Linked DNA regions of Callithrix jacchus. The protein of the gene in region 2 binds, or shares a complex with, the protein of the main gene of each other region. Links are inferred from orthologs where the notes say so. Each region holds a gene or a part of one and is shown on either strand. Other genes may lie near its edges.

The links.
Region 1: SF3B5 (region 2) and PLRG1 share a complex: the UniProt entries of both Homo sapiens proteins name them as parts of the minor spliceosome. The link is inferred for Callithrix jacchus from reciprocal best matches to the Homo sapiens genes SF3B5 and PLRG1.
Region 3: SF3B5 (region 2) and PPIL2 share a complex: the UniProt entries of both Homo sapiens proteins name them as parts of the minor spliceosome. The link is inferred for Callithrix jacchus from reciprocal best matches to the Homo sapiens genes SF3B5 and PPIL2.

Annotation. Positions count from the first base shown.
Region 1 is NC_133504.1:42,079,408-42,082,439, forward strand, and holds part of PLRG1 (pleiotropic regulator 1), read left to right. Parts: intron 1-245; coding exon 246-348; intron 349-1,074; coding exon 1,075-1,183; intron 1,184-2,311; coding exon 2,312-2,451; intron 2,452-2,950; coding exon 2,951-3,032. UniProt on the Homo sapiens protein: Involved in pre-mRNA splicing as component of the spliceosome. Component of the PRP19-CDC5L complex that forms an integral part of the spliceosome and is required for activating pre-mRNA splicing.
Region 2 is NC_133505.1:150,851,865-150,854,461, reverse strand, and holds SF3B5 (splicing factor 3B subunit 5), read left to right. Parts: upstream 1-1,292; 5' UTR 1,293-1,412; coding exon 1,413-1,673; 3' UTR 1,674-2,028; downstream 2,029-2,597. Other genes in the region: uncharacterized protein LOC118153004, read right to left, coding at 1,194-1,292. UniProt on the Homo sapiens protein: Component of the 17S U2 SnRNP complex of the spliceosome, a large ribonucleoprotein complex that removes introns from transcribed pre-mRNAs.
Region 3 is NC_133502.1:193,645,070-193,648,727, forward strand, and holds part of PPIL2 (RING-type E3 ubiquitin-protein ligase PPIL2), read left to right. Parts: intron 1-113; coding exon 114-165; intron 166-3,169; coding exon 3,170-3,221; intron 3,222-3,658. UniProt on the Homo sapiens protein: Has a ubiquitin-protein ligase activity acting as an E3 ubiquitin protein ligase or as an ubiquitin-ubiquitin ligase promoting elongation of ubiquitin chains on substrates.

The DNA.
Region 1 (3,032 bases), on a different chromosome or scaffold from region 2:
CCCTTCCCCTGAAGTGTGACATTCTCACATTCCGTTCTGTAACCACAACTATTGTCCATTAGTTCTTTCATTCAGTAGTCCAGAAGTAGTCCCATCATACCCATTCCTAGACTTTCAGTACCTGATCTTTCAGCTTTTTAAAATTCTTGCAAGCTGTCTATTTATATTCTTTCTCCAGTTTATAAATCATTATCTTTGATTTAAAGCATTTTCTTCATTATATTATGTCTGTTGCATTTTTATAGATTTGGGATGTGAGAACTAAAGCCAGCGTACACACGTTATCTGGACATACAAATGCAGTTGCTACAGTGAGATGTCAGGCTGCAGAACCACAAATTATTACAGGTATGATTGATACTTTTCAAGTTTACAGCATATTCATAACAGAATCCATGTTATACATACACTTTTAATAGTCACGATGACTCATGCTTTGTATTGTGTTTACAGTGTTTCTGTGTCATATTTTAATCATGGACATTTGAAATATATTCAAATGAAATTTCATTTCACTGTTTTTATCTCATGCTTTTTACATATCATAGAGTATGCCATACATAGTATCCTGTAATGTCTGACTAGAATACTGTGTTATGAGCAGTTTACTATTTTACAGTGTCAAAATTATTTTTCTAGAAAATTAAAGTTAGAAGACAAAATACCTTGAGACTAGTAACCTTTAGAACCTTTAGAAATGATTTGAATCTTGTTTTTCTCTAAATAAAGTTGGATCTTTAATACTAGAAAATAATTCCTGTGCCTGTTGTATTTTATTAACTTAAAAAATCATTGGAGTTTTTCCCTTTCATGAGGGTATAAAATCATATATTTGTTTTATTTGTTATTTGCGTTTGTTCTAGCTGTTCAATTGACAGTGAATCAATTGTAATTTTTTAAAGATTTAAAGTCAACCTAAACGTTTGGAACTATGAAGAAATTAGCCAAGACTAATTTCCAAGTGATAAGACTTTTATTTAGAACATATGTGTTTTGGAAGAATGCTTTGTATTTTATTTAATTTTCATTCTTTTTTCTGGTCTGTTTTGAGAGATGTATGTATTTCCATTACAGGAAGCCATGATACTACAATTCGATTATGGGATCTGGTGGCTGGAAAAACAAGAGTGACTTTAACAAATCACAAAAAATCAGTTAGGGCTGTAGTTTTACATCCAAGACAGTAAGTGTATTTTCCTAATTAGCTTCTCTTTTTTCTTCAGTTCTTAGTATAATGCTGAAATGCTCGTGTCAGCATGCTTTTTGGCAGTCATTTAGCTGCTGTCATTTCTAGGCCTGTGTCACACAGGAACATGTGTTTCTTTTATTTTCTTCATGCACTATTTTGCTTTATTCCCTATAAAACATAAGGAAAGCCTTCTACTTGATAACACGTAAATAATGTCAAATCAGACAATGTAAATATATCATGATTAAATGCTGCTTGTCAAAATAAAAGATATTAGTGACTGGGCTTAATGTTTTGGACATAAATGATCTGAACACTGAGACATTCATTGAATAGTTTAATTCTTAAGGAGGAAGTTAATATATGTAGAAAGAGAAATAAGAAATCTGGACAGTATAGTCAAAGTATCCCAGGAGGTGGAACATAATATCACTACTACTGTTTGTTCTATCAGTTCACCCTGACACTTTCCTGGTTATATGCATATCCTTTCTCTCTCCCCCTTCCTTCTCTCTGTTTTTCACTCTCCATACCCTTTTCTCCTCTCTTCTTCCTTCCTTTGCTTGTCTTTCTCACTCCCATTTCTCCTCCTCACTCCCTTTCTCTTCCTCTTGCCCTCTATTCCTTTCCTTCTCTTCCTTTCTTTCCGTTCCTGTCTTGCTCTCCCTCCCTCTGTAAGAGTTGCATTTGCCTTGCCCTTCATGTGAAACAGGGCATTTGCACATTTATTGTTCTAGCTTACTGCAGAGATTAAGGAAATGAAAGGAGAATAAAACATTCATCTAGGACTTAAAATATACTGTTTAAAATTTGAAAATCCGATTTATCTTTGAACGAATGTCTTAATATTTTTACATTTTGATATGACAGTATTTTGCTGAATACATAAATAATTGAGTGCACATGCAAAATATAACTATAATAAGCTTTATTATAGTGTTTCTGTGTCATATTTTAATCGTGGACATTTGAAATGTATTCAAATGAAATTTCATTGCACTGTTTTTATCTCATGCTTTTTACATATCATATCGTATGCCATACATAGTATCTTGTGTTCTGTTACCCCACTTTATTTAACTTGGTTTACTTTGTCATTAATTCTTTTTAATATTATTTCAGTTACACATTTGCATCTGGTTCTCCAGATAACATAAAGCAGTGGAAATTCCCTGATGGAAGTTTCATTCAAAATCTTTCTGGTCATAATGCTATTATTAACACGTTGACAGTAAATTCTGATGGAGTACTTGTATCTGGAGGTAAAATAAGATTTTTATAATCAATATGTTTGGTCTCTTATTTTTTTCTTTTAATGATGAATAAATATTTGTAATGCTTCTAAGCTGTGACACTTAAGTATTAGAGCAGCACTTGCCCGATTAGGGTATATGTGCATGTTACTATGGGTGTTTATGCATATTCATAATACATGTAGTATATTTCATAGTTTAGTTCTCTTTGAGTTCCCACCTAAAGAATCTCAGGGATTTATACTGGGAATTGCCCAAAATTTTGTTTGGTATTCTGGAATTGATGTCAGACTTTGCGGTGCTTTTTAAGATCTATAAGATCTATAAATTCTGAACCCAGCACAAATGAAATGAGACAAACTATTATTAAGAGAAGGTTGAGTGCCTGTGTCGTATGTATTTTTATAATTGTAGTATTGCCTTGGTGCTTGGGCTAATTTTGCTTAATAAATGTCAGGCTGTACTGCTGAAGGGATACCAGGTGTAACTAGATTTTTTTCCCTTTAAGCTGACAATGGCACCATGCATCTTTGGGATTGGAGAACTGGCTACAATTTTCAGAGAGTTCATGCAGCTGTGCAACCTGGGTC
Region 2 (2,597 bases):
AAATTCTTGTTTGGGATATATATATATATAATTTTTAAAGAGGATCTCGTTTTTTTCAGGTAGCCTCTATCCATATGAGGAAGTTATTAAACTAAAAATTAGGATATAAAGCAATAATAAGGAAGAGATGGATAATCTGCAAAGAGGAAGAAGAATTTACATCTGTCTGGAGCAGCCAGAGAAAATTCTAGGGAGATGCATTTGAGCTGCCTTTAAGGCAGATGCGTTCACCAAGGGAACAGACATTCCAAGTAGAGGGAACAGCTTGCACAAGGAACTGGGGAATGGGCACAACAGGTAACATGGAGAAGTACAGTTGTCCCTCAGTATCTGTGAGTGATTGGTTCCAGGACTCCATGGATACCAAAACTAGAAGATACTCAAGTCCCTGATATAAAATGGCTTGTATTTGCATATACACACATCCTCCCGTATAGTTTTTCTCTAGATTATTTAACAATACCCAATACAATGTAAATACTATGTAAATGGTTGTTATATTGTTTAGGGTATAATAACCTTTAAAAGTCTACACTTCGGTACACACTAATTTTTTTCCCAAATATTTTCAGTCGGGTTGGTTGAATTCACAAAACCCACTGAATGGAAGGGCCAAGTAGGGTGCCGTGAGGCATTGGAGGGAGGATATCAAAATAACTGGCTAGAGAGGAAGGAGGAACTTGAGGTGGAGCCGGAATGTGAGGAAATGGGTACTGTACTTGCTCACCAAACACCCTGGTTAGAGCTGAAATAACTCTTTGATGCTACAAACTCCTAAGCGACATAGTTGGGACCAGAACTCGCGCCTACTGACTTCTGGGTAATCCATCCCGGGTAGTGAAGGGACTGCCGTGCCGCCACGATAGGTCCGAAATACATAAGAGTTTATTTTCGGGGTTGCTCGTAGTCCACTCCTATTTGGGTTTCCCATTTCCCATCAGCCCCAAGCCAACCACGGATGCTTCCCGCCTCGCAGACAACACCCTCCACTAGGCACCCATACCGCTTTTAAAAGGCGACCAGAAGTTCCGGAGGCTGGCGTGCACGAACTCCAAAGACCAAGACCACAAGTCCCAGCATGCAACGCTCCCGGTTGAAAAGGGCCTCTCATAGCCACTAAGCGGACCATCATGCAACGCTCTATGAAGGGGCACGGCTCACTACAGGGGCGGCACACTTGTAGCGTCGCATACCTCGGCAACTCCAATTCCGTGACTGATGTGCTTCCGCTTCCGCTTCCGCCTCTGAGCCCTATGAGCGAGAGTTACACTACTTAGTCTCAGTGACGCCATTCTTCTGCGACCGCGTGGGCCCGGAGGTGCTGTGCGGTGTCCTCACTCCCGCTTGAAACGGTAGAGCGGTGACTTGTTTCCTGCGGCCTCTGACCTCGGAGCGAAGGGGAAAGCGGCGAGATGACGGACCGCTACACCATCCACAGCCAGCTGGAGCACTTGCAGTCCAAGTACATCGGCACGGGCCACGCCGACACCACCAAGTGGGAGTGGCTGGTGAACCAACACCGCGACTCGTACTGCTCCTACATGGGCCACTTCGACCTTCTCAACTACTTCGCCATTGCGGAGAATGAGAGCAAAGCGCGAGTCCGCTTCAACTTGATGGAGAAGATGCTGCAGCCTTGTGGACCGCCAGCCGACAAGCCCGAGGAGAACTGAGACTGCCTTACCAACGCCGTGCGCGGCGCCTCTCCCAGCGTTCCTCCCGTTTGCCAAATCCCTCGAGTATTCCTGCCTTCAAGGGACCGGCTCTCTCCATGGCTCCTGCGTCCCGCGCTTTCTGCGTATAGAAGTGCTTGCCGGGGAAGTCCCTCCTGACCCGCCTTCATGTGGACACTTTGGGACAGCATTGAGAGACCAGCAGGACCCCTGAGAACTGTGCTGGCGGAGAGGTCCTGCAGCCGGCAAGTCTCTGAGAAGAGGGCGTGGCGCTGGAGTGAGATGGGATTTGGCGTCTCGTTTTTGCCTAATTGATTGTCATTGGCTTTTTCCATAAAGTTTAGAAATCGTTCAGTCTCTTGGTGTGAACTTCCTGTGTTAGGGTGGAGGGCTCCGGAAAGAGCTCCAGGCACCGAGGTTCGCGAGAGTCCGAGTGGGAAATGGGTTTGGGTGAGGGTGCGAATGCCAGTGTCTGTGGCCAGGCACTTAGATATGCCTGTATACCTTTATAGTGTTCCCCGACTGCCACTTCCTCCAAGAGCTTTATTTTCAGTCTCACAATGACTTCAGTTTTGAAGTTTGCGGTTAATGTATCCCATCTTTTTCTTCTGTTTTAAAAATCTTTGCTGTCATTGTTTTCCCTAGCCTCTTTAAATTACATCCTTTCTTTTTCCTGGGAATTTGAAACCATGTCTCCAGAAATGACAAGATGGCAAGCGAGTTCATCCATTCTACATTCAACAAATATTTGTTGAGCTCTATGTGACAGGCATTTTCCCATGTTCTTGGGTATACATTAATGCTGGTGGTGGAGAAAGGTCAAACACTGTAGGCATAGCAAGCAAATGTTAGAAGGTGGTGCTGGGAGGGGAGAATTATGTATATGGTGTGGGTGGGGTAGCTGGTAGGGTTGTAATCTTAAAT
Region 3 (3,658 bases), on a different chromosome or scaffold from region 2:
AGTGAGACTCCTTCACAGGCCTCTAACCTGGAATAGCCCTGCAAGACTCTAGTGTTGTTACCAGGTGGCGCCTAAGCACCCTGGTGATGCTTTCTGTTCCCTCTTCCCTTCAGGAACATTGTTCCCTGGCTTAAGAAGTATGGGACCAACCCCAGCAATGGAGAGGTAGGTGGCTGTGCGGGAGTTTCAGTGATGGTGGTGAACGCCTTCCTCTCACCTCTCCTGTTCTGGTGGTTTTCATGAGGCCCAGTGAGGAGGAACAGTCTTCCCCTCCTCTCTCTACACCCATTCCTTTCCATAAACGCTTCCTGTCTGTGCACATATATATATATATATATGCATATCTTTTCTCAGGCCATAGCTGTGATCCAGTATGACCTCATCTTACTATATCTGCAGAGACCTTGTATCCAAGTAAGGCCACAGTTCCAGTGAGCATCAGTTTTGGGGGGACATTATTCGGCTTGGTCTTGAGGGAGAGCTCGTGTATTTTACCAGTGACCTTGCCCTTTCTGTTGGAGTTCCTTGCATTTATTCCTCCACCTTTTTCCTGTGGCCTGGGGCAAGAGCTCAAACTGTGCAAATGAGGTGGAGGGTCAGGACTCCAGCAGGTTCCCTGTGCTGGATCCACTGGGAGGGAGTTCCCTGGACAATACACCCCTCCCTGCCAGGCCAGCAGGAGAAGCTGGCAGCCCATCTGTGCTGTCTCAGCTCTTCTGACCCTTGTGACTTTCTGGGGGCTGCAGGGTTCTGTGCACTCTTTATAGATGGAGTTAGCGCTCCTCCAAGGCTTTCCTGCTCTTGAAAATGAGGGAACTTGGCCAGGGGACTGATTTTGAGTGTCCTTGGACCAGCTGCTAAAGCCTATGGCTTTTGTCTTTCAGATGCTTAGGTAGGGGGCTTGTGGGGGCTTGTGACCTCACCTTAGGGAGGGCAGTCTTCTTCCTTGGTCTTTATCACTTAAAGACTGTGTTCTGTGGTTCATGCCTGTAATCCCAGCACTTTGGGAGGCCAAGGTAGGCAGATCTCAAGTTCAGGAGATCGAGACCATCCTGGCCAAAATGGTGAAACTCCGTCTCTACTAAAAATACAAAAAAATTAGCTGAGCATGGTGGTGCATGCCTGTAGTCCCAGCTACTCGGGAGGCTGAGGCAGGAGAATTGCTTGAACCTAGAAGGCGGAGATTGCAGTGAGCCGAGATTGTGCCACGGCACTCCAGCCTGGGCGGCTGCAAGTGCAAGACTCCATCTCAAAAAAAAAAAAAAAAAAAAAAAAAAAGACTGTTTCTGTGATATCTGCTGCTGACACCACATTGGATTCCAGGGGCTTCCCCCAGGGTCCGTGCCCCAGTCTGGGAAGTCATCCTCTGTGTCTCTTCTCAGCAGGAGTTCCTGCTGCCCGCCTATGCCCTGTGTGGCTGGGTGTCAGCCTCAGGGAGCAGCCTGGTGACGAGGTGGGGTAGGTGGGGTTTTCCTGTCCCCAGCTACTCATGGCCTCTGCTGTCCCAGTGGATGTTGTTTATTCAGTTGCAGCTGGGGTGCATTTCGTTACTTTGGGTGTTTTGCTTCAAAGGTGCTCTTTGGGGTTTACAAACTTGCCGATTGTGCTGGGCCCCACAACCACAAAGCCTGATCTGGCAGTTAGCCATTCTGTGAGGCGCCACCATTTCTTTGTTCCAGTTGTCATATTGGGGTGAGTTTGCAGGGGTGCCCCATGTGTCCTTATCCTCTCCCCTGGCGTGCTCTGGAAGGGGTCTTGCTGTGGGCTTGCTTGGACAGACCTATGGGCGTCAGCAGAGCCTTGCTAGCCAAACCTCTGGAGGAGAGTCCCTGGGCCAAGGGCTGGTTTGCCCATATGACTTTTGGGGGCTCAGAAGGAGCCTGTTTTGTATGTGGGGGGGTGTCCCTGCTCAGGTCCTGTGCCTGAATAGGGACCCTGTTGACCCTCTGGTGGTCTCTTCCTTACCTATAGTGATGTAGGAAGGTGGGGGTAGTTAAATGACGAAGGAATGAAGGCAGTGGAGGAGCAGATGTGGTCAGTTAGGCCGGCCAGCAGCAGGCAGGACCCACAGAGGGCGGGGAGGGCAGCACGAGGGCCTGCTGCAGTTTCAGGGCCAGGCCCAGGAGGCTCCTCCTGCCTCTCCCCTGGTCCTGGGTAGGCAGAGCTGGGCCCAGCCCACACCAGCTAGCAGCAGCTGCTGGGATGTGGCCCCCAGTGAGGTGCTCCCCAGCAGCACATAGCTCTGACAGCCCCGCCCCCAGCAGTTCCCGCCTCTGATTGTCCAGACTTTGTTTTATGGGAAAGTTTCCTGTAGAAGAGCTGAACTGCAGACACGCCACCAGAAGTGGGGGAAATAAGAAAAAAGAAAAAACATCCAGAAACAGAAAAATAGAGGGTCCCACCGTCCCAACACAACCACTCGTAGCGTTGGGGTGCATTTCTTCCCTTTCTCCCCACTTTTAATGTTTTTTTTTCCTTAAATATTCACATAACAGAATAATAAGGCAGACCCGTGTGTTGCCCCACTAGCTGAAGAAATACCTTTTTTTTTTTGAGACAGACTCTCACTCTGTTGCCCGGCTGGAGGGCAGTGGCGTGATCTCGACTCACTGCAATCTCCGCCTCTTGGGTTCAAGCGATTCTCCTGTCTCAGTCTCCCTGGTAGCTGGGACTACAGGCACCTGCCACCATGCTCAGCTACGTTTTGTGTATTTCCTACAGATGGAGTTTCACCATGTTGGTCAAGATGGTCTCAATCTCTTGACTTTGTGATCTGCCTGCCTCAGCTTCCCAAAGTGCTGGGATTATAGGCATGAGCCACTGCGCCTGGGGAAATTTGTTCATTTTTTAATTTTAGAAGTAATCTGTGCTCACCATAAAAATGTCCAAACCCTGCAGAAATATACCACCACCCAGCGGCCTGGTCTCAGCTCGGAATCACCCGTGATGGCTCTTCACAGAGAATGGTGGGGGTGCCACATAAACACAACCGCCTGATGCCATCCTGCAGCCCACATGAGGTCCTTGCAGGGGCTTGGGGCCTTCCCTTTTGTCCAGAGCTGCCCAGAGTTGGCTGGTCAGAGACCTTTTCAGCCCATCTCTGTTTGACCCCAGTATCTCTGTGCATCAGTCACGTATTCATTATCATTATTAACTCTGCTTCTTCCAGAAACTGGACGGGAGGTCCCTGATCAAGCTGAACTTTGCCAAGAACAGTGAAGGTGAGTGGAACCGTTGGGGCCAACTCTAGGCTTGGCTTGCCGACGACCCAGGCTCCTGGCTCTCACCAGGTCTCATATGGAATCAGTCATTCCTTTCTGACCAAGCTGGATACCTGCTTTTAGTCCTCAAAAAGTGTCACAGGATTTCTTCTCAAAGATCTGGGTAGTTTTAGGCTGGAGATGGGAGGGGGCAGAATCTTGGGTGTTGGGAACTTTCCACAAAGGTGATTGGGCCGTCATGAGCTGCCAGTGGCCTTTGTGGGCATAGTCGGAGTTGCAGGGCATGGGCCTCCTCTGGCTGAGGCTGTGGTCTGTTTGGAGGCAGAAGTTGCTCTGCACTGGGAACTAGGGCAGCAGCTGGGGAGGGAATGTGGTGGTCTGGAGGGATTTGTCGGGTAGCTCTCAGGCTGGGCGTTTCCTCACTACAGCTCATAGGG